Ovis aries: one gene and its partner. Each later gene encodes a partner of the first gene's protein in a complex. Links are inferred from orthologs where the notes say so. Each region holds a gene or a part of one and is shown in the gene's direction. Other genes may lie near its edges.

The links. The genes of interacting proteins can lie anywhere in the genome.
Region 2: the proteins of SMC2 (region 1) and NCAPD3 are in contact, whole or in part, in a cryo-EM structure (PDB 9F5W), measured with the Homo sapiens proteins. The link is inferred for Ovis aries from reciprocal best matches to the Homo sapiens genes SMC2 and NCAPD3. Residues at the interface, in NP_001036015.1 of Homo sapiens: Arg112, Ala122, Asn123, Asn124, Thr125, Arg126, Leu218, Lys222, Arg225, His229, Trp940, Asn942, Ala943, Glu944, Phe948, Arg981, Met985, Arg986; in NP_056076.1 of Homo sapiens: Asp31, Met72, Ile80, Pro127, Gly128, Ala131, Phe135, Pro137, Asp141, Lys235, Gln237, Gln240, Leu1121, Asn1196, Asn1200, Pro1203.

The regions. Positions count from the first base shown.
Region 1 is NC_056055.1:18,958,923-18,969,539, reverse strand, and holds part of SMC2 (structural maintenance of chromosomes protein 2), read left to right. Parts: intron 1-1,268; coding exon 1,269-1,462; intron 1,463-2,530; coding exon 2,531-2,674; intron 2,675-5,708; coding exon 5,709-5,903; intron 5,904-8,010; coding exon 8,011-8,211; intron 8,212-10,617. UniProt on the Homo sapiens protein: Central component of the condensin complex, a complex required for conversion of interphase chromatin into mitotic-like condense chromosomes.
Region 2 is NC_056068.1:82,060,603-82,071,219, reverse strand, and holds part of NCAPD3 (condensin-2 complex subunit D3), read left to right. Parts: intron 1-1,765; exon of another isoform or gene 1,766-1,854; coding exon 1,855-2,017; intron 2,018-3,315; coding exon 3,316-3,500; intron 3,501-4,058; coding exon 4,059-4,226; intron 4,227-4,307; coding exon 4,308-4,369; intron 4,370-4,559; coding exon 4,560-4,647; intron 4,648-6,652; coding exon 6,653-6,786; intron 6,787-10,302; coding exon 10,303-10,375; intron 10,376-10,617.

The DNA.
Region 1 (10,617 bases):
GTTGGGAGGTTTTTGATTCCTTATTAAATTTCCATATTACTGTCTTTTCACATTTTCTATGTCATCATGATTTAATCTTGTTAGGTTGTCTTTTTCTAGGGATTTATTTCTTATGGGTTGTCTGATTTGTTGGTGTGAAATTTTTCATAGTTACCTTTTATGATTCCTTATATTTCTGCGGTATCAGTTGCAGTATCTTTTATTTCTGACTTTGAGTCTCTTTTTTTCCCCTTAGGTCTAGCTGGAAGGTTATTGGTTTTAAAGAGCCAGCTTTTAATTTCATGGATTCTTTTTTCTATTTCTTTTTAGTCTCAATTTCATTTATTTCCACACTGATCTTTATTATTTGCTTCCTTCTACTAACTTTGGGTTTTGTTTTTTCTTCTTTTTGATGCAATTCTAAATGGGACTGTTTAGTATATAGAAACACAACAGATTTTTGGTGTAAAGTTGTTTGAGATTTTTCTTTATTTCTTTAGGTTGGCATTTGTTGCTATGAACTTAACTCCTCGAACTGATTTTGCTACATCTAATGTACATTTGGTTTGTTGTATTTCTGTTTATCTTTGTGTTGGGTATTTTTAAAATTTCTCTTTTGATTTCTAGAATGATATTCTACAGTGAAAACTAGTATAGGAAATTGTATAATCTTGGCTTTCAAGGTTATGTTTGTACCTAGTCCTAACACTTAACAGTGTATGTTGATTGTGAGCATAACATGCTCATTCTATCTTACTTTATTTTTTTAATGTCTAAATTCAGAGGTAATATGTTTCCTATGCTTCGTCCTAAGTATAGTCTCACAATATTTCTCCACTTTAATAAGAGTTTCCTTGAATAAAAATAAGTGAGCAAGGAACACTAAGTTAAGCTTTTTTATGGGGTTAATTAAAAGTATTCTTATAACTAAAATAAAAGTACCATAGTTATGTGCTCAGTTCTGGTTTTATAAAGCATATGGTATATAAAACGGTCTGTGATCTTTTTATAAGTTAAATTGTAGATAAAGTTTATGTTACTCAATTTCATGTGATTGGAAATAATTTCTTTACAGAATTTAGATAATTCAAGTATGGCTCTAAGGTATGACCTGTGTTTTCAACATACTATTTCTAGGATAAAGTTAGAACAGTTAATTTTTTTTAAACTCTTGACTCCAACTTTCTATACCTTTTCTTCTCTTAAAAGTTGAATTTGTAAGCCCTTTTCTGTAGCTGTTACTAGTTGGAAGATCTCATTTAGTTGTATTTGCCTGCTTTATAATGCAGAGGAAAGTGAGGAGACCTTAAAAAACACCAAAGAAATTCAGAAAAAAGCTGAAGAAAAATATGAGGTGTTGGAGAATAAAATGAAAAATGCTGAAGCTGAAAGAGAGAAAGAACTGAAGGATGCACAGAAAAAACTAGATTGTGCCAGAACTAAAGCAGATGCTTCTAGCAAAAAAATGAAAGAAAAACAACAGGTAATTTTTTTTAATAGAATTAATCTTTTAACATCAGCGTAGAACTGAAGGGTGGTAGAGCACCATTGGTTGACATGGCCTTCTTCATCGATATGTGTCACAAATCAAAAAGTGAGAGACAAAGTTGCTTGATAAAGGTTTGATTTTGATAATGTTTCATTCAGGAGTGGACCAAAGCTTGTATCATGTAAGCCAAGCTGTGTCTTATCAGAGAATCACTGTTGACGTTTCTGTTTGGTGATCATCTGTTTGAACAGACACTGTGAAGGAATAATGATGGCAAAGCATGTTATATTTGCAGTGCTATTCAGTTGTAGACTATTTTGGATAGTTTCAAGGCTGGAATTTGAACCTATGTTTTTCTGTTTACAAAGAAGGCTACATGCTCAATCACTATTCTATACAATTTCACTATTGAATACAGTTTCACTTAAATCTAACTTTGCTTCACAGTTCTTTTTAAACCCACCTTATGATTCTACTATTAAATATTTAGCTTTATACAAAGCATTTTGTAAAGAACTAAAGGCTATAATGGGAAAGAAGAGAAGCTATTTTTTTTTGTCATTAAATAATTGTTTAAAAAAGGTTTTTAACCTCTCCTAATTTATCTGCTATATAGAATTCTGTATTATTTTTCTCTATAGGAATAAAAGGATGAAATAGTTTATGCAGAGTTCTTTGAACCCATAAAAATTGTATGTACATTTTTTAATATAGAAAAATAAATTCATTTTCCCTTTTTCTTCTTTGGAAGCAGCTTACATGTTTTCAGTAATTGAGTAAGCTATGGTCCTTACTTGCTTAAGTATCTTATTAGTTTTGCTGAAGTGAAGTCGCTCAGTCATGTCCGACTCATTGTGACCCAATGGACTGTAGCCTACTGGGCTCCTCTGTCCATGGGATTTTCCAGGCAAGAATACTGGAGTGGGTTGCCATTTCTTTCTCCAGGGGAACTTCCCAACCCAGGGATCTAACCTGGGTCTCCCGCATTGTAGGCAGACGCTTTACTGTCTGAGCCACAGTAGTTGGTAACTATTGAATGCCCAGATGCTGTGTTTTTTATAGGAAGTTGAAGCTATCACCCTGGAGCTGGAGGAGCTCAAGAGAGAGCATGCATCCTATGAACAACAGCTTGAAGCTGTAAAGGAAGCTATCATATCCTACGAGGGTCAGATTGCAGTAATGGCCTCTGAGGTGGCTAAAAATGAGGTGAGAGTGATTTAACCACATTAGAGAAATACAGATATCAGTCTGCTTCTGAAATGGTGGCTTAAAGATGTTTGACTTCAGAGGTCTCAGTCTCTTCACCCCTGTCATGATGAGAGGGAAAATGATGACTACCAATCAGAAAGAGTCCTGAAATAATATCACTAATTGTTTTAGTCCAGGTCTATTGGAAAATGAAAACACCCAGTAATTTGACCAGGCCGAGTTTAAATAAAAATTATTAACTATAACAGGAATTTGGAATGATGTATGACTGGATTGCTAAGGGGTAGAGAAAACTCTAAAGAATGAATAGCAGATATAGGAGCAGTTATTACCTATAAGCTGAAGCAGTGCACCCCCAGAAGGAACAAATCTGGAAAAGAGCCCCATTCTACCTGCAAGGCTGATAACTACATGTAGTTGGAAAACACATTATTGTGGCCCTCTGGTGGTGGGGTTTGGTGTAGTAGGGAAACCATGCTGAGCAAAGTGCTGCACAGGACATCTGCTGGGAAAACAGCTTTCTGGGACACCAGGGGGACTGGCCACAGGGAGGTGCCCAGCCTGTGAACAGGCTGCAAAGACTGCTGCTGGGTATGCCATGTAAGTGACAACCTTGCCTTTGAGAAAAGCACATCAGAACCAAGAAGTGAAGCCCCTTCCTTCTCCAGTGTCCCTAAAGCATCCTTTACTGATGAGGCTTCATATTGTTACACTCGGCAAGGGAGAGTTGTTCCCATCTCAGAAGCAGGCAGTGAAGGGTGGATTTGGGGTACGAGGTTTCATGTTGTGAAGATATTTCTATTTCCTGCAAATATTAGAAATGCTCCCTCATGAATATTGGATACCCTCTTGACCCTTTCTTTGATTTTGACCTTGAATTCTGTTTTGTTTCATTATTTCTACTCATACTTTTTAAAACTCAGATTTAATTGGCATAACATTTATATTGGTTTCAGGTGTACAATATAATGGTTCAACATTTTAATATATTGTGAAATGATCACCCCATAGCAGGTTTTTTTCTTGTGATGAGAACTTTTTAAGATGTGCTGTCTTAGCAACTTTGAAATACATAGTAGTAGTTATTATTACTACTGTCACCATGCCCTACAAAGTGTAACCACCTTTGGTTTTTTGATACACCTTTTTGTTGTTGTTGTTAGTTTTCTGTTCTGTTGCAGTTATGTACTTTTTGTAGGTCATGTTAACTAAAATGTAATAGCTTCTAACAGGGGCATTCCATCCATTTACCTAGGATATAGTAAAGTGTGTTTTTTTTGCCTTTTGTCCTCTACTTTTACATTTCCTGTTACATTTTTTCCTTGAGATGATTGTTTTAATTGCTGTAGTGTGCATTGTTTTAGAAAGTAGTTCTTTTCTCTTCTATTTGTGGTTAAACTCAAGGGTTTTTTTTAACACATTATCAAATCAATAGCAGAACAATTTTTTAACTATCTTTTTGAATCAGGGTTCAAAATGCTTTTCAGCTTTGTGTTTTGTCTTGCTGATTACCTTTTCTACAGTTTCTTTTCTGCCTTCTGACTTGCCTTTTTGTCTCATTCCTCCATATCTTCTACCATCTTTCATGGACGTCATGTTGTGGAATTTTTTTTAAAATTAGATGTCATATTTTTAAAGAGAAATGTGGAAGTAAAATAAGTCACTTCTTCCTTGATCTAAATAATGATAAAATCAAAAGCATATACATATTTCGATAAAGAGAATATCTATTTTTCTATGGAAAACTATAAAATGTATCTCTAAGTTTGTAAATGTTGTTCTTTTAGTCTCTATATTCTAAATTGTTTCTGTTTGCCCTCTTAGGGAGCTAAGAAGATAAATTGCCTTCAAATTAATTATGTTCAAACGAAACTAAAAACTTTGGCTCAATCTGAAGTGATAGATATCCTTGTTTTTCTCTTAACCATTGTAGATTGAAACAGTTACACCTATGACACCATCTTCAGTCTTTAGGTGTGAGAGAATCAGCTTAATAAACATGTTTTTGTCATGCGCTTTTGTTTTGGATTTTTTAGATGAATGCTGAGATTTAACTTCCTCCTGCAAAGGACCTTTTATGACACAAACATTATAAAGAAATTACTTATGTCATGTTCAATAACTTAACCATAATGTCAGGTATTGTTTATCGCTCAAAATTATCTTGTTTTCTAATGAGCATGCCTTAAAAAATTCCTAAATTTTTACTGACGCTTATCGTCACTTCAAGATATCTATTCTTCCTCAGTCTTTTAGCAAGTTGTTCTACTCTTTGTTTTTCCCTACCTAAATCTGAATTGAGCTAGGTTCTTTTTTTTCAGATGTTTGTGTGAGTTTGTGACCATATCTTTACCAGAAAGACCTTTAAGATCTAGCAAAGAACTTTCATGGGGAGGAGGTGAGAGTTGGTAGACTAAATCCCAGCTGTAATTTTCACTTCGGAGACAAACCGATGATACTAAAAGAGTGAGAAGTTTTTCTTTGTGCCACAGATATGTTTCTTCAAAAAGTTTCTCTTCCTCTTCCATATCTCTGTTTTAACCCCTGTGCTAGAACTAAACACCCTGACCTTTTGTTGCCACTGTCAGAGGCCTTATGGCTTACTTCTGTAGAAGGGAAAGGAACCAATGCCAGCTTACCTTACTTCCACCTCCATTCTTTGCCTTCATAATAAATGGCATTTGGGGGTCTGTCATATTATTTTGTAACCACCACCAGAATCCCACTCTTTTGAGAGACCGTACAGGGCAAATCCCAGTAACCCCTCCTCCACCTAGGTGATCCCAGTTTTACTGTGTCACAGGAACTTTGTTGCTTCCAGCATGAACAATGCATCGCATCCCTTTTTCCGTAGTGGTAATACAAGTTTTATTTGTAAATGTGTTAGTCATTTTCATGGGGATATAAAATGTAGAAGGTTAGATGACACATTGCCTGTGTCACATAGAAGTCTGTTGGATGATCTTTCAGTAAACCAAAAAATGTCTCCATCTTACCTTGCTGTATGTTATCTTGTAATTATTCATTGCAGGAGTTAGTAAACAAAGCTCAGGAAGAGGTGACCAAGCAAAAAGAAGTGATAACAGCCCAAGACAACATAATTAAAGCTAAATATGCAGAAGTAGCAAAACACAAGGAGCAAAACAATGACTCTCAGCTTAAAATTAAGGAACTGGACCATAACATCAGCAAACATAAACGGGAAGCTGAAGATGCTGCTGCAAAGGCATGTTTGTATTGTTCACTTTTATTTTTAATCAAATTTTTGCCTCTGGGTTTTTGAAATGTTCTGGTAAAGTGCTCAGTGAAGAACTTAACTGTAAATGGCAGAACTACTGTGTAACAATTTTGAGGCATGCAACTATGACTGCTTCTCAGCAGTCACCAAATGGCAAAAATGTTTTATTTTTAAATTTAATCTCAGGGGCTTTATTCCCATCTCCAAGATGTTTTTAACCAAATATTGAATGGCCTCCCATGGAAATGACTGTTTTTTTTAATCCCCAGTTGTTCATAGAACTAATTACTAATGTATTAATAGTAGTAATATGTATTCTTTACCTAATTGCAAATTGAATTTAGGGAACTCACAGAGAAGTATCCACAAGGTACTTCTGAAGTAAGGACTTAGTTGGTTTAGGATATCCTTATGAGGGTTAGTATAGTCAATGTTCGAAGTCTCATTTGAAATCTGACATTTTGCCAGGCAGTGTCTTTGAAGTTATCCCACAGTTTATTGGTCACTCTTAATTAAAATTTCTTTCATGTATCACAGTAACCTAAGTACTTTAAAGAAAATACATAGTTTTGCAGGAATTCATTGCTTAGTTAGGAGGCTTCATTTATGTGGTTTTAATAATTCACTCATCATGTTTTCTTACTGGTGTGTAACAGTTTGGTGCCTTTTAAATCTTTTTTAGCATCATAAAAGTACAAGAGATTTAATTTCAAAAAGATGAGAACATACAAAACAGTCTTCCACCCTTTTCTGCAAGAGCCATGATTGCCTGTTCAGGTTCATTACTTTGTTTAAAAAGCATTTTTTTAATGACCACATGATAATATCCTAATATTTTATTAGTATTGATTTCCCATTTGCCTAGTAGCCTAGTATTAGTGGATTCACTGAACTATTACCAATGCTAATATTACTGTTAATAGGTTTTTTTAAAAATATAATTGACAATACTAGTATTGGTGGTTGCTAGGGGATTCTATTTACAGTTAAGTGAAGAGGGTACAAAGAGCGACTTGCAAGCAGAACTGCTAAAAAGTCAAGTATTCTTTAAAATACATAGTTTATCAAATATTTATTGTATACTTGTACCAGGCACTGACTTCCCTGGTGGTGCAGATGGTAAAGTATCTGCCTACAATGCAGGAGACCTGGGTTTGATCCCTGGGTCGGGAAGATCCCCTGGAGAAAGAAATGGCAACCCACTCCAGTACTCTTGCCTGGAAAATCCCATGGATGGAGGAGCCTGGTAGGCTACAGTCCATGGGGTCGCAAAGAGTCGGACACAACTGAGTGACTTCACTTTCACTTTACCAGGCACTAAAGATACAAGAATGAGCAACATGCCACAGAATGTGTTCATGGTGCTCACAGATGAGCAGGAAAAAAAGATAGACTAGAAATGACCATATTACTTTGAAGTCTGGTGGTGTGACTGTACTCATGGGATTAATAAGGATGATTGACAAGGATTAGCTTTCAGCAGTCAGTACCAATCTTAAACAGTTATAGTAGAAGAAAGTCTTCTTAAGCACTATAATTAAAAATCCTTAATGGTTATATTACATGAGTATTTTACTGTGCCTTGTCAATGAGGGTAGCAAGGGGATGGAGTCAATATTTAAGATAATGTTTTACTTAGATTATAATTTCAAGAATTATTAGGTACCAATCACGATTAGGCTTTCATGATTTTACAGTATCTATGACTTAAATATTCATATAAGACTAAACTTTCACAAGTTGTTTTTTTGAAGTAATACGTTGAATTTGGTAAAATCTGGAGCCTCATCTCATTATAATGGCAATGTTTACACACATACACACACCCGCATACACTTAACTGTTTCTCTGAGTTCACATTTATTTTGATGCTTAAGTAATATCTTTTTCTATTTTTTGTAGCCTATCCTCTAGATAAAAATATTCATACTTCTTACAGGTTCACAGTCAACAATGAGTCTCATTTTTTTTTCAAATGAGTCATTGTGGGATTTTCCTAAAAAATGTTTGTAAAAATTAGTAAATACTTAAGAAACTAATTTTTAAATATAGGTTTATGAGCAATGATATCATTCTATTATCATCTTTTGGCTAGGTATCCAAAATGTTGAAAGACTATGACTGGATTACTGTAGAAAAACACCTCTTTGGGCAACCCAATAGCACCTATGATTTCAAAGCTAACAACCCAAAAGAAGCTGGTGAGAGACTTCAGAAGTTGCAAGAAATGAAGGAGAAACTGGGAAGAAATGTCAACATGAGAGCCATGAATGTGCTGACTGAAGCTGAAGAGCGTGTAAGTCACTTTGCTCTGCCTGTGGCCGCTGCAAAACATGAGTAGCCTTGGTGGATTTTATGACCCCTGGCGTGTGTGCGCTCAGTCTGCAGCCCATGGACTGTAGCCCGCCAGGCTCCTCTGTCCTCGGGATTCTCCAGGAAAGAATACTGGAGTGGGTTGCCATTTGTGTCTCCAGCAGATATGACCCTTGAGACAATTATTAGAGTCAGTCTAATAATTTAGGCTTAAATTTTAGATTTAAAATCTTTGCTTTATGCTTTTGAAAATTTGTTTTGTGTTTTCCTTTTCTTCCTTTTCGGTTATTTCTTTTCTTATTTCATTCTTTTTGTTTCATCAGTTACCTGTTCTGCTGTGCTTAAATGACTTTTCCACTGGCTTTTGCTTTTGCTGTGAACATGTTCAACCCCTCTCTTATTTTTGGTTTAAATAAAAACACTTTCGATCTTGTTAACTCCTCACATTTTTACCATTTCTTTCACTTGTCTTTTTGAAAGGCTTTGAAGAAGACTCTACAGATTTTCCCCACTATCCAAAAAGTAGGGCATTCCTTTGAAACCCTTCCTATGCCGAAATGGTATAAAGCAAAAAAGCAATTACCGTAGGGCCCGTCTTGCTAACAGATGCACAGAGCAAACTGAAATAAAGCACAGATGCTTATAGACACAGTTCAAAGCTCTGGGAGGAGGTTTGATGCTGAGATGCTCAGTGTTGTTCCCATGAGGAGCTTGATGGTGCCACTCTCACTGCTTAGGGTGTGTCCTGCTTCTGTAAGAAATGGCTCACTGCAGCACACATGCTGAACGTTATTTGTGCTTTTTACCGTTTCTTGTAAAAGCAGTGATACAAAGTGAACTTTGAAAAAGTGAGAGAATACCTGTCTGTTCTAACCAGTGTCTTCCTTTGATTCAGTGTATTGCAAGAACCATTACATAAGTAAATGACTAAAACTGTTATATACATTAACACTGTTTTACTAATCTGTAAATCCAGCAGCATCTTCTCTGTTTTAATGCTCTCAGTTACTTGATGGTGTTATTCATCTCCCTTACCTTTTACAGTCTGCATGTCACTAGAAAAACCCAAAGGGGAAAGCAATTCCTATTCTTTATGGCCCCATAGGAAATAGCAATCTGAGTAATTTTATATTTTGCCCTGTATCTTCTTTAATTCTGTAAAACTGAATTTGTATAACAGCTAATGAGAGTGCTATAAAAGTGAGTACCTGTGAGCTCAATCACTTTTAACAAATTTTTTGGTAATGGGTTTCTTAAAGCTGTTACTGACATTAGTATCTACAAAGAATCTATATTATGTCAGATACTAAACAGATTAATAATGCACATACTGTGACCTTCTGTTAAATATTCCTGCTGGTTTTCATTTCTCCATTAAGTCTTTGCAATATATGGCATCTTCGTGGAAGGGAAATATTTTGTCTGAATTTGAGCTGCTTAACATTGTGAAATTTGTTTCCTTATACTTGTTTGCTTTTATTATATAATAATAACTTGAGCTAGTTTTGGGGGGTTTTTTTTGTTTGTTTTTTAATTTTACAACTCCCATCTCCATATCAGAGAGGAAGGGCTTTGTTATTGTATTTTGGGTCACCTCATGTAAGAAAATACATGGAATTATGCAAGGAATAGGATAAAAATGTGGCCAAGGTCCTAAAACCTTTTCTTCACAAAGGAAAGGGACAGCAAGGAAACTAGCAAGACTGGCTGTAGTTTTGCAGGGAGAATATGAAGCCACCTTGAAATGTGAGGCTGTGAGGAGAAATAAGTTAAAAGGGTTTTTAGAAAGTTCTGCTGCTCCTCATGATTTGATTATCCCTCTGTAGTCTCCCTCAAATTTTTTTTTCAGTAAATTTCTTCATTAACCAGAGAAGGCCACTCTGAAAATGAGATGTGGGAGTGGAAACCTGAGGCGCCAGTTAATGTCTGAAGTAGAGGAAGAACAGTGCAGGGGCCATAGGGCTACAGTGAGCTTATGCTCAGGAAACTGAAAATGAGACCATATGGCTGGAGCCTGGGGAGGAGTGTGTCGCCAGAAGTTCAGAGATAAATAGGAGCCAAATTATGTGGGACTTTATACATCATGGTGAATAGTTTAAAAAGTTACATCTTTATGTCACTGCTAAGACTGACCTTGCATGCAAGGCTACTTTTGAGTTTACATGACAAATACTCCCTTTTTTGCCTTGGCTACTGGGTAGATAAGGGAATATAAGTGAAGTCAAAATGTTTCAAGAGTTTGTGCTATCAATTCTCAGCTATAGTAATTGAATTTTACATATAGATGTGTTTACTTCCCTCAGTTTGGGTTACGTTGTAACTCAATGTAGTGTTATCTTTTTGGTAAGAAGGAGTTGTATGTATCGCATATAAAAATAGTAAAATCTCT
Region 2 (10,617 bases), on another chromosome or scaffold:
TGGCCAGAGCCTGTGCAGTGACCACATCCACGGGCCTGAAGAAGCACGGGCCACCAGCTCTATGTGTTAGAAACTTCTGTAGGACACGTTAAATGCCATCTTGGCTTGCCTGGAAAAGGCAGCTTGCTGAGGTTGAGGCTGGGAAGGTCCCAGAAAGGTAGCTGGCTGGAGGCACATCTTCACAAATGGCTGGAGTGCTGACCAGTAATGAGGATTCCAGGGCAGCCTTGGGAGGGATCCTCACAGTGGGGATGTACAGCAAGTCCGAGGGGGTGGGGCAGGGTGGAGGCCACAGGACAGCTGTGAGTGGGGTCTGTGGTAGGCTTCTGGAGTGAGGTGTTTGCTGTCCACAAGGTTCAGGTCTAAGCGTCATCCCTAGACTAAACCGCTTGTCCTCCCATCTGCCTCTTGGAGGAAGGGGTTCTAGTGTGCAGTAGACCCAGGAACATGAAGAGTGCTGTTTCAGTGGGTGTTCTTAACCAAACACAGACTTAAGGGGGGAATGCTGTCCCCAGGGAGCTCCCTAGGGACATTATGACTGACCCCTGAATCCCATGGTTTTGGCTGCACAGGCCCACTTCTGTGCAGAGTTTTCAGTAGTACCTACAGGACTGCATGGTCCCAGGAGTTTCAGTCCCTGGATGCAGAGCCGCAGATGTGAAGGACCTGTGTCTGTGGAGGGCCGGCTGTGAATTACGTGAGGATTTCCCACTCGCTCCGTGTCGTGCAATAGTCAGTTGTGTTTTGCTCATTGATTTTTTGAAAAATGTGTGTTGTGGTGTGGTCTGGGTTACAGTTGTGGAAATTGGGGTGGAGGGCTAAAAACTGGGGACTCTTTTCAAATAGAGTTAATAGAGTTTTGTGAACTGGGTCTTTGTCAGGTATGAAATGCTTCCAAGGTGATTGGGTCCCCCAGGGTCACAGTTCCAGGCAGCGGGAGGGGAGCTGAGGTGGCCTTAGAAATGAAGATGTAACTGCTTTCTTCCACAAGCTTCGTGGTGAAGGAAAGAGGTTGTCGAGGTCTGATTTCTTGAGCTTCTGTGGGCTTCTGTTTTTTAAGGTGGCCCATAGTGAGCCATATTTCGCTCCTACTGTTTGCTTTACTCAAATAAGCTATTTCCTCCTCATGTCTATAAGAGGGGAAAGCGTGAATAGTGATCAAAGTAATGAAAATATGGTTTGTGGTCTAAGGCTTACTTCCTCTCCTACCGAGGCTGTTTCTGCAGTCTGTTGAGCGAGACACTCACAGGTTTTCCTCTCCTGCTCCCATTGCCCACAAAACATTTTGACTTAAAAAAAGTTGCTCTGATTTTTTTAGTTAGTAATTAGAGTAATAAATGGATTGAGATACATTTAACATAGATGGAGGGGTGACTTGTCTGAGTAATCACTGACAGAGGTGTCCCCAGAGTCTTAGTGTAGCTTTCAGGTGTAGTAATTTCAGAAATACATACGCTTCAAACTTACCCAAAGTTATTTTGCAAGTTTAATTAAGATTCTTGTATAGTTTCTTATCTTTGTGATTTTCGTTTACTTTTTCTTTTATTGGCTGAGCCACTCAGCTTGTGGGATCTTAGTTCCAAACCAGTAATGGAACCCAGACTCTCCCCAGTGAAGGCATGGAGTCCTAACCACTGGACCACCAGGAAACTCCTCAACTTTGTAAATTTTGAATAATACACTTTTAAATGTTCTGTTTTAGTCCCTTTGAAAATGGCAGACGTTTATAATTAGGAGGCAGAATGGTCTGTTCGTTTTTTTATAGGGCACTAAGCACTCAGAAGAATCAGAAACAGCAAGAGGAGACTCTCACAGCGCTCTAACGACTGGTGCTTACCGTTTGCCCTCCCCTAGAGCATTTGGACCTTCTTCGTGGAGAACAGAATTTCCCACAATGCGCTGATGGCCTTGTTTCACCACTTCGTTTATAAGGCCCTTAAGAAAAATGTCAGTGCTCAGCAGCAGGAATTTGGCCTTCACGCCGCCGGGCTGTATTTTCTGCTGTTGGAAGTACCAGGTATGCACGTTTGGTGTGATGGGGCAGGCCTTCTGTTTGTAATTTGTCTGCTTGGTTTTGAACTGTTACATCAATGCTTTGTCCTTGCTGGGAGGTTAGGTGACAGTGAATCTGTGAAGCCCATGGTCTGTCACAGGTGTTCAGAAAGCTCCCCTGTTTTCCTGTAAATGTGGCTTCGGATGTTACCGTGCTAAGTCTGTAACCCAGCACACAGTCCCAGAGGGGTAAGGCTGGAGGGGCGTGCCCCGTGCCTTCGTGGTGTCCCTGCCTTCTCACTCCTGTCCAGCCTGAGAACAGTGCTGGTTGGAGGGCTGCTGCTCTTCCCGCTGTGTCGTGTGGACGGTCGGTGGGCTGTCCTCACCTGCAGGGCTGAGCACAGCTAGTCACAGTGAGGGAGCCCAGGGAGGAGTGTGTCTGGGATGGTGCCCCACCTCGTCCAGGCGGGACCCGCCCCGAGCCCAGGGCAGGAGACGGTGCGGCTGAGGAGTCAGCTGCAGCTGTGGGACTGCGAGTCCACCAGAGAGAAAATCAGGGTCAGTCAACCTGCTGCTTGTAATTGCTTATGTCGGTGCCTTTGTAGTAAATGTTAGGGACCTACTCCTATGATCTGAGAATTGGAAGAAAAGCTATGACCAACTTAGACAGCATATTAAAAAGCAGAGACATTACTCTGCTGACAAAGATCCGTCTAGTCATAGCTGTGGTTTTCCCAGTAGTCATGTATGGATGTGAGAGTTGGGACTATAATGAAAGCTGAGCACTGAGGAATTGATGCTTTTGAACTGTGGTGTTGCAGAAGACTCTTGAGAGTCCCTTGGACTGCAAGGAGATCCAACCAGTCCATCCTAAAGGAGATCAGTCCTGAATATTCATTGGAAGGACTGATGCTGAAATGCCAATACTTTGGCCACCTGATGCAAAGAGCTGACTGATTTGAAAAGACCCTGATGCCGGGATAGATTGCAGGCAGGAGGAGAAGGGGATGACAGAGGATGAGATGGTCAGATGGCATCACCAACTTGATGGACATGAGTTTGAGCAAGTTCCAGCAGTTGGTGATAGACAGGGAGGCCTGGCGTGCCACAGTCCGTGGGGTTGCAAAGAGTCGGACACAACTGAGCGACTGAACTGAACTGACTGCTCGTTGCCTAGGGTGGAAGTTGAATTAAACTTTTTTGCTAAAGGTTCCTGTTAGTTAAGGAAAAGCCTGCGTTTGTTTTTAAATATTTCATTGTTGTAGCAGATATATTTCAAAGCAATTAAACCTACCTTGCTTACTCTTTATTCTTTACAAATAGGCAGCGTAGTCAATCAAGTTTTCCATCCAGTGATATTTGACAAATGCATTCAGATTCTAAAGAAGTGCTGGCCTCAGGAATCCAGCTTGAATCAGAAAAGAAAGAAAGAGCAACCAAAGAACACTCAGGGCAACTCGCAGGAGAGCAGTAAGAGGGCAAGACCCCACAGGAGAGAGGAGGTGGAGGTAAGCGGGGGTGTGGCCAGGAAGCGCGTCTGACTCGTGTAAGGATTTATATCAAGTTAGGATGTCGGGGGTCATGATTATACCAAAGCTCTAGCGTGCTGTCCGCCTTCCCTCCCCTAGGCGTGGCCTCGTGGCCTGCTGAGCCTCTGTTCCCCGTGCCGTCTTCCAACCTCCCTGTTGCCTCCCTCCAGTCTGTTCCCAGGTGTGCCTCGCCGCAGGCCAGCAGGTGTTACCTTATTTTCATTAGAGACCATGGTTGAAGTGTCCAGAGGACTCATGTCCACAAGAACATAATAGAATAGCATTAATTCCAAATTCTTGTGTGACTGGGTAGAGGTTCGTTGACACCAGAACTGGTAAGAAACCCAGGCAGTCTCACTGATGTGAAAATCCGGACCCAGAAGCTGTGGTAGCCTTCATGTGGTCCAGACTGAGCTTGAAGCCATGGGGCCCAGGGAGGCCCCCTAGAGTCCACTGGCCTTGACTCAGGGACATTGCAAACCTCGGACAGGCTGCGAGGCAGTGCTGCAGTCGGCTGTGTGTTTCCGCATAATCTAGATGGATGAAACTACTCAAGAAGAAGAGGATGAAGAGGGTGTTTTTTATTCTTCTGAAGATCGTCGTCAGATTCGAAATGTCCTCTTTCAAGTTTTGAAGAACTTTATAAGGCTTCTTTCTAAATTCTCCTTAAAGGAAAAGCCAGAGTGTATACAGAATTGTGTGGAGGTAAGTGAGAATGCCAGGGACCTTGGGCAAGTTCAAAGAGAGTGGGAAAAATCAGGCCTTTTCTTGGTGTCTGTTTTCCAGGTCTTTGTTGCGTTAACTAGTTTTGAACCAGTTCGTTACGAGTTCCAGGTTACACAAGCCAGGTGAGCAATTAAATCCCCCGGTGCTAACGTTTAATTATGGTGAGATGTTTCGCTGCAGCAGAGGTGTGAATGTCATTCTATCCTGATTGGCACACAGGTAGAATTCATTCATTTAAATAAGGCTGATAGGGTTAGGAGTTTATCCTAGTGAAATCACATCCATTAACTAATCTTTTGCCTTTTTTTTTAGAGTTCTCAGAGAAATGAAGTATATACCAGAACTGGCCTACCATGGACTGTATCTGCTTTGTTCCCCTCTTCACAGAGAAGGAGACACGGTAAAGGAGACAGGAGCTGAGTTACAGGGAATTGAAAGCACACGGGTCGTGTGACTAGAAGTGCTGCAAGGACTCAGTGCGATGCTGTGTGAACTCGCTGGGTCGTTGGTGTCTGTGATGAGAAGCGCCCGTCAGCACGTGGTGGCCGCTGCTCGCTACAGGCTCATACCCAGGCCCCTGGTGCCGCAGGACACTCTTGTTGAGCTCAGGCATAAAGCAGGCCCCAGCGGGGCCTGCAGAGGCGCAGGAAAGCTGCTGGGCAGGGCTGCCGCTCGAGCGCTCACCAGAGCCCTCTGGGGGGCAGACAGCCACAGGCCTTGCAGCTCCCCCGCAGGCCCCGTGCCCCTGTGTTCCTGTTAGCGTCTGTGCTTTAGCAGATGATTCCAGAGTCCTCTGGGAGGACAGACAGCCATGGGGCCTTACAGCTCCCCCGCAGGCCCCTCTGCCCCTGTGTTCCTGTTAGCGTCTGTGCCTTAGTGGATGATTCTGCTGACACTCCTGGTCAGCATTCATATCTGGATTTGCCTGTGGTGACCTTCAGAGCCGCACAGCCCTAGACACTGGGGTCAGGGCTTTGTGAGCCCTGGGGTGTTACTGAACCTGAATGTCGTTAGTGCAGCAGGAGTCTGCAGAAAACATGGCAGACCAAGGCCCTTGCCTTCAGCGCCTGCAGTGCCCTGGTTTCCAGGGAGCGGGGTGAGGAGGCCCTGGGCACGTGGGCTCCGCACTTGGGTCCTACGCCTCACTGCTGTGTGTCTCCCTTTAAAAAGAAAAAACATTCCAACTTATTTTTGGCTGTGCTGGGTCTTTGCGGCTGCGAGCAGGCTTTCTCTCAGTCGCCGTGAGTGGGGGCTGCTCTCTGATTGCGGTGCAGTGGCATCTCGTGGAGCACTGGCTTAGTTGCTCTGAGGCATGTGGGATCCTCCCAGACCAGGGGTTGACCCGGTGTCCCCTGCATTGGCAGAGGGATTCCTCACCACTGAGCCACAGAAGAAGCCCTGTGTGTCCTCCATGAGTCCTTGGTATCCTCACCTGGACAAGGAGGATGAGGGCCTTCCCTTCCTGTGGATTTCTCAGGAGGACTGCAGGGAAGAGTGCCTCGGCGTAATGCCTGCTGTTTAGAAAACACCCCATCCTTCTTTAATTTTTGATGTCATTATCTCTTCCCTGTGTCTGGAATATGTGATAGCATTTACAGTAAAACTTTTAATTTCTGTGCCCTTTTTAGCATTGTAGAGTAGAAAGTGCAGAGGATGGGAAATTACCCTTTCAGGTGGCAGTGTCTCTAAGGACAGGGTGTTTTTCATTGCAAAAGTGTTGGCCTGATGTTGGGTGACTGTGGTTGTAGCCTTATCTTTGATTACTTGACTTGGGACTGCTCATCTTCAAAGTCTTTTGGTATGTATAAAGTGGAGATAATAATAGTATCAAGTATAGAATGGAAATGTTTTGCTGACCTCATTGAGTTGAGAGATTTCAGAGTAAGTATGGTCAAATCTTGTAGTACAGAGACATGCTTAATGCAGTACCGGCCACATCCTTGGTTTCCAGTAATTATTTTATTCACTGGTTGCACAAGCTAACCCTTTGAGTAGATTCTGTGAGATGATATACGGGAAGGTGTTCTGTAAGCTTCAGCTGTAACATAGGTGGAGAATCATCCCCTTCCTCTTTCCTGTGGGGGGTAATCCGTTGCATTCTTCGGCCTTGCTCAGTTGCAGCTGATTCTCGAGCCCTGGTTTCTGGGCTGGAGTATAAGGCAAGCAGAGAAACTGGGTGGAATCCGGCTGATCAGTCTGTAGGCAGCACCTCCGCACTGTTCGTTTTGTGCAGGTATGACACCTGGTCGTTGTGCAGCAGGCGCACCCTTCGTGGTCCGCCAGAACCTGTGCCAACCTCCTTTACCTGCTGGCACTTGAAACAGCTCACTGGGGTCTGCGTCACAGTTGGCAAGGCCCTGGGATTCTCTGTCATGCCTTAAGCTGCATGTCCTTTCCTCTTCCAGGTTCTCAGATACGTTTTGCATCAAATGCTCTGCATAATACTGATGGTAGAAGTGGGCAAAGGCTCCCATCACACCCCGCTTGCCATCACGCCGCCGGTTGTCAGCAGTAGGAAGCTGGCCATCCAGTTTGTAAGGTAAAGGGCACATAGCTCGCGTCTCTCCGTCACTCGCCCTCAGTAGCCTGGGCCCTGTGCTAGCCGCGGCTTCTGACACCTGAGGAGCTGACACGTGTCTGGGCTGTGTGTGGCTTGTGGTTCAGGATAAAGCGCATAGCAGCCCATCTGGCTTGTGCGGTAGGGGTGGTGTAGGGGGTGCTGTTGGGCGTGCTGTAGGGGTGGTGTAGGGGATGGTGTTGCAGGTGCTGTAGGGGGTGGTGTAGCGGGTGGTGTTGGGGGTGTAGGGGGTGCTGTTGGGGGTGTAGGGGGTGCTGTAGGGGTGCTGTTGGGGGTGTAGGGGTGCTGTTGGGGTGGTGTAGGGGGTGCTGTAGGGGTGCTGTTGGGGGTGCTGTAGGGGTGGTGTAGGGGGTGCTGTTGGGCATGGTGTAGGGGGTGCTGTTAGGGGTGGTGTAGGGGGTGCTGTAGGGGTGCTGTTGGGGGTGCTGTAGGGGTGGTGTAGGGGGTGCTGTTGGGCATGGTGTAGGGGGTGCTGTTGGGGGTGGTGTTGGAGGTGCTGTTGGGGGTGGTGTTGGGGGTGCTGTAGGTGGTGGTGTGGCAGTGCTGTTGGGGGTGCTGTAGGGGGTGTTGTTGGGGGTGGTATAGGGGGTGCTGTAGGGGTGGTGTAGGGGGTGTTGTTGGGGGTGCTGTAGGGGTGGTGTAGGGGGTGATGTAGGGGTGCTGTTGGGGGTGGTGTTGGAGGTGCTGTTAGGGGTGCTGTAGGGGTGGTGTAGGGGTGCTGTTGGTGTAGGGGGTGCTGTTGGTGGTGTTGGAGGTGCTGTTGGGGGTGCTGTAGGGGGTGGTGTAGGGGTGCTGTTGGGGGTGGTGTAGGGGGTGCTGTTGGGGGTGTAGGGGGTGCTATAGGGGTGGTGTAGGCGGTGGTGTAGGGGTGCTGTTGGAGGTGCTGTTGGGGGTGGTGTAGGCGGTGCTATAGGGGTGGTATAGGGGGTGCTGTAGGGGTGCTGTTGGGGGTGGTGTAGGCGGTGCTGTAGGGGTGCTGTAGGGGTGCTGTTGGGGGTGGTGTAGGGGGTGGTGTGGCAGTGCTGTAGGGGGTGGTGTGGCAGTGCTGTTGGGGGTGGTGTAGGGGTGGTGTAGGGGGTGCTGTTGGGGGTGGTGAGGGGTTCGTGGCCTGTGGGCCCGCTGGTGAGGCCAGCTCTGAGTCCCGACTGCGGTCTCTGTGTCTGCTGCTCCAAGTCTGTCTCTGCCTTTCTGGCTCCTCTAAGTCTCTTTCCTTAGGTTCCTTGCCACTTTTTTTTTTTAACTTTTTTATCAATAATTGATAGACTCATCTTCTCACGAGTCAGCAGGCTTTGCCTGCAAAGTCCCATGTCGGGGCTTTACTAGGAGATGCCGCTACATCACTCGCTGTTCTGTCCTCGGTTCTGTCTGTCTGACAGCAGCACGGAGGTGGTGGGGACAGCGGAGAGCGTGCCTGTGAGCGGAAGCGGTGCCTGGGCAGGCACGGGGTGCAGGCGCAGCCGCAGATGTGGGTGCGTGGTGCGGGGCATGGGGCGCAGGCGCGGGGTGCGGGGTGCGGGCATGGGGCGCAGGCGCGGGGTGCGGGGTGCGGGCATGGGGCGCAGGCGCGGGGTGCGGGGTGCGGGGCATGGGGTGCAGGTGCGGGGTGCGGGGCATGGGGGCGCGGGCGGGGGGGGCGGGGTGCGGGGCATGGGGTGCAGGTGCGGGGTGCGGGGCATGGGGCGCAGGCGCGGGGTGCGGGGTGCAGGCATGGGGTGCAGGTGCGGGGTGCGTGGTGCGGGGCATGGGGCGCAGGCGCGGGGTGCGGGGTGCAGGCATGGGGTGCAGGTGCGGGGTGCGTGGTGCGGGGCATGGGGCGCAGGCGCGGGGTGCGGGGTGCGGGCATGGGGCGCAGGCGCGGGGTGCGGGGCATGGGGCGCAGGCGCGGGGTGCGTGGTGCGGGGCATGGGGCGCAGGCGCGGGGTGCGGGGTGCGGGGCATGGGGCGCAGGCGCGGGGTGCGGGGTGCGGGCATGGGGCGCAGGCGCGGGGTGCGGGGTGCGGGCATGGGGCGCAGGCGCGGGGTGCGGGGTGCGGGGCATGGGGCGCAGGCGCGGGGTGCGGGGTGCGGGGCATGGGGCGCAGGCGCGGGGTGCGGGGTGCGGGCATGGGCCGCAGGCGCGGGGTGCGGGGCATGGGGCGCAGGCGCGGGGGTGCGGGGTGCGGGCATGGGGGCGCAGGCGCGGGGTGCGGGGTGCGGGGCATGGGGGCGCAGGCGCGGGGTGCGGGGCATGGGGCGCAGGCGCGGGGTGCGGGGTGCGGGCATGGGGCGCAGGCGCGGGGTGCGGGGTGCGGGGCATGGGGCGCAGGTGCGGGGCATGGGGCGCAGGCGCGGGGTGCGGGCGCAGGTGTGGGGTGCAGGTGCGAGCGCAGGGTGTGGGTGCAGGGCGCGGGCGCACGTGCAGGGTGCAGGCCCAGGTGCGGGCGTGGGTGCGGGGTGTGGGCGTGGGTTGTGGGTGCAGATATGGGGTGCGGGGCACGGGGTGCAGGTTGCTGGTGCAGTGTGGGGTGCGGGTGCGGGGCGTGGGGTGCGGGTGTGGGTGCTGGCATGCAGGTACAGGTGCTGTCTGGCCCCTGAGTGAGCCTTAAGGATTTTTTTTAAACAGCAAATAAGATGTTTTGAGTAGAAGCACTTGTTCTAAATTTTCCGTGTATTCGTGATGTCAGTAATTGCCATATTTCTATAATGGCGTGAATAAACTTGAAGATGGGTTGAGTCTGGGCGTTTTAATAGCTTCTTTGAGGGTTAACTTTGGAGAAGTGCTGTTAGAAATCCGTTTTGCTGACCTACCACAAGGTAGTACTATGTCTCAATCTGGCATTGACTTCAAAGTCAAGCTCTTCACAGAGAAAGCTTGCCGCATTTGAAACATTGTTTCTTTATTTATGGCTCTTCTGGGGCTTAACTGCCTCACGCGTGGGCCTCTCTCTAGCTGAGACGACAGGGGCCTACTCTGATCACCCTGTGTGGGTGTCTTGCTGCAGAGCGTGGACTCGAGGGCTCCCAGGCTTCAGGGCTTGCGGCACGGGGAGGTGCCTCACGCGCTCAGGAGGCGTGGCTCACAGGCTCGATTGCCCCTGTGCCTGTGGGTTCTTCCTGGGTCAGGGGTTGGATCTGCATGCACTGCACTGGGAGATGGACTCTTTACCGCTGAGCCACGAGGGGTCTTATTTCAGCCTTGGTAAGAGCCGTCGTAAGCAGCCCAAGGGTCTTGGGAGGTCTGGGCCCTGCCCCTCCCTGACTGGCTACTGGGAGCAGTTTGGAGACCACCCGGGCGTGGGGAACGGTGCTCCGCTGTGACGCTCTCTTCACACTCCACACACTCAGGCCTCGCTTCCAGCACAGGCGCAGATTGCTCTTAGTAGTCAGGCTTTCTACAATGTAGAAGTGTCACTGTTTTTGAGAATAGGTTTAGGGGAAGCTGTTATTTTATTTTTATTATAGATGTATTATAAACAGTGATTCTTTTCTTTTTTAAAGCGTACTGGTAGATGAACTTAAGGAAAGCATGTACCCGGTCCTTCGTACTCTGCTGCAGCACATCTGTGTCAAGGTACTGCTGGCTGTAGTGTTAAGAGGCTGAAAACCACGCAAGAGTAGACGCATGTATCAGTGTTCCCAGAAATGAGCCTGTGTCGTTACCAAGAGTGGTCTTTTCTGTTTAGTATGTTTGCTGTTCTCTTTGAGTATTTGGGGGGGATAAAACAACTTTTTTTCCTTTTTAGAAATCTTCAAATATATAAAGATATAGAACAGAGTAATGAACAGAATGTTAAGTGATTTTGTATAAGGAAA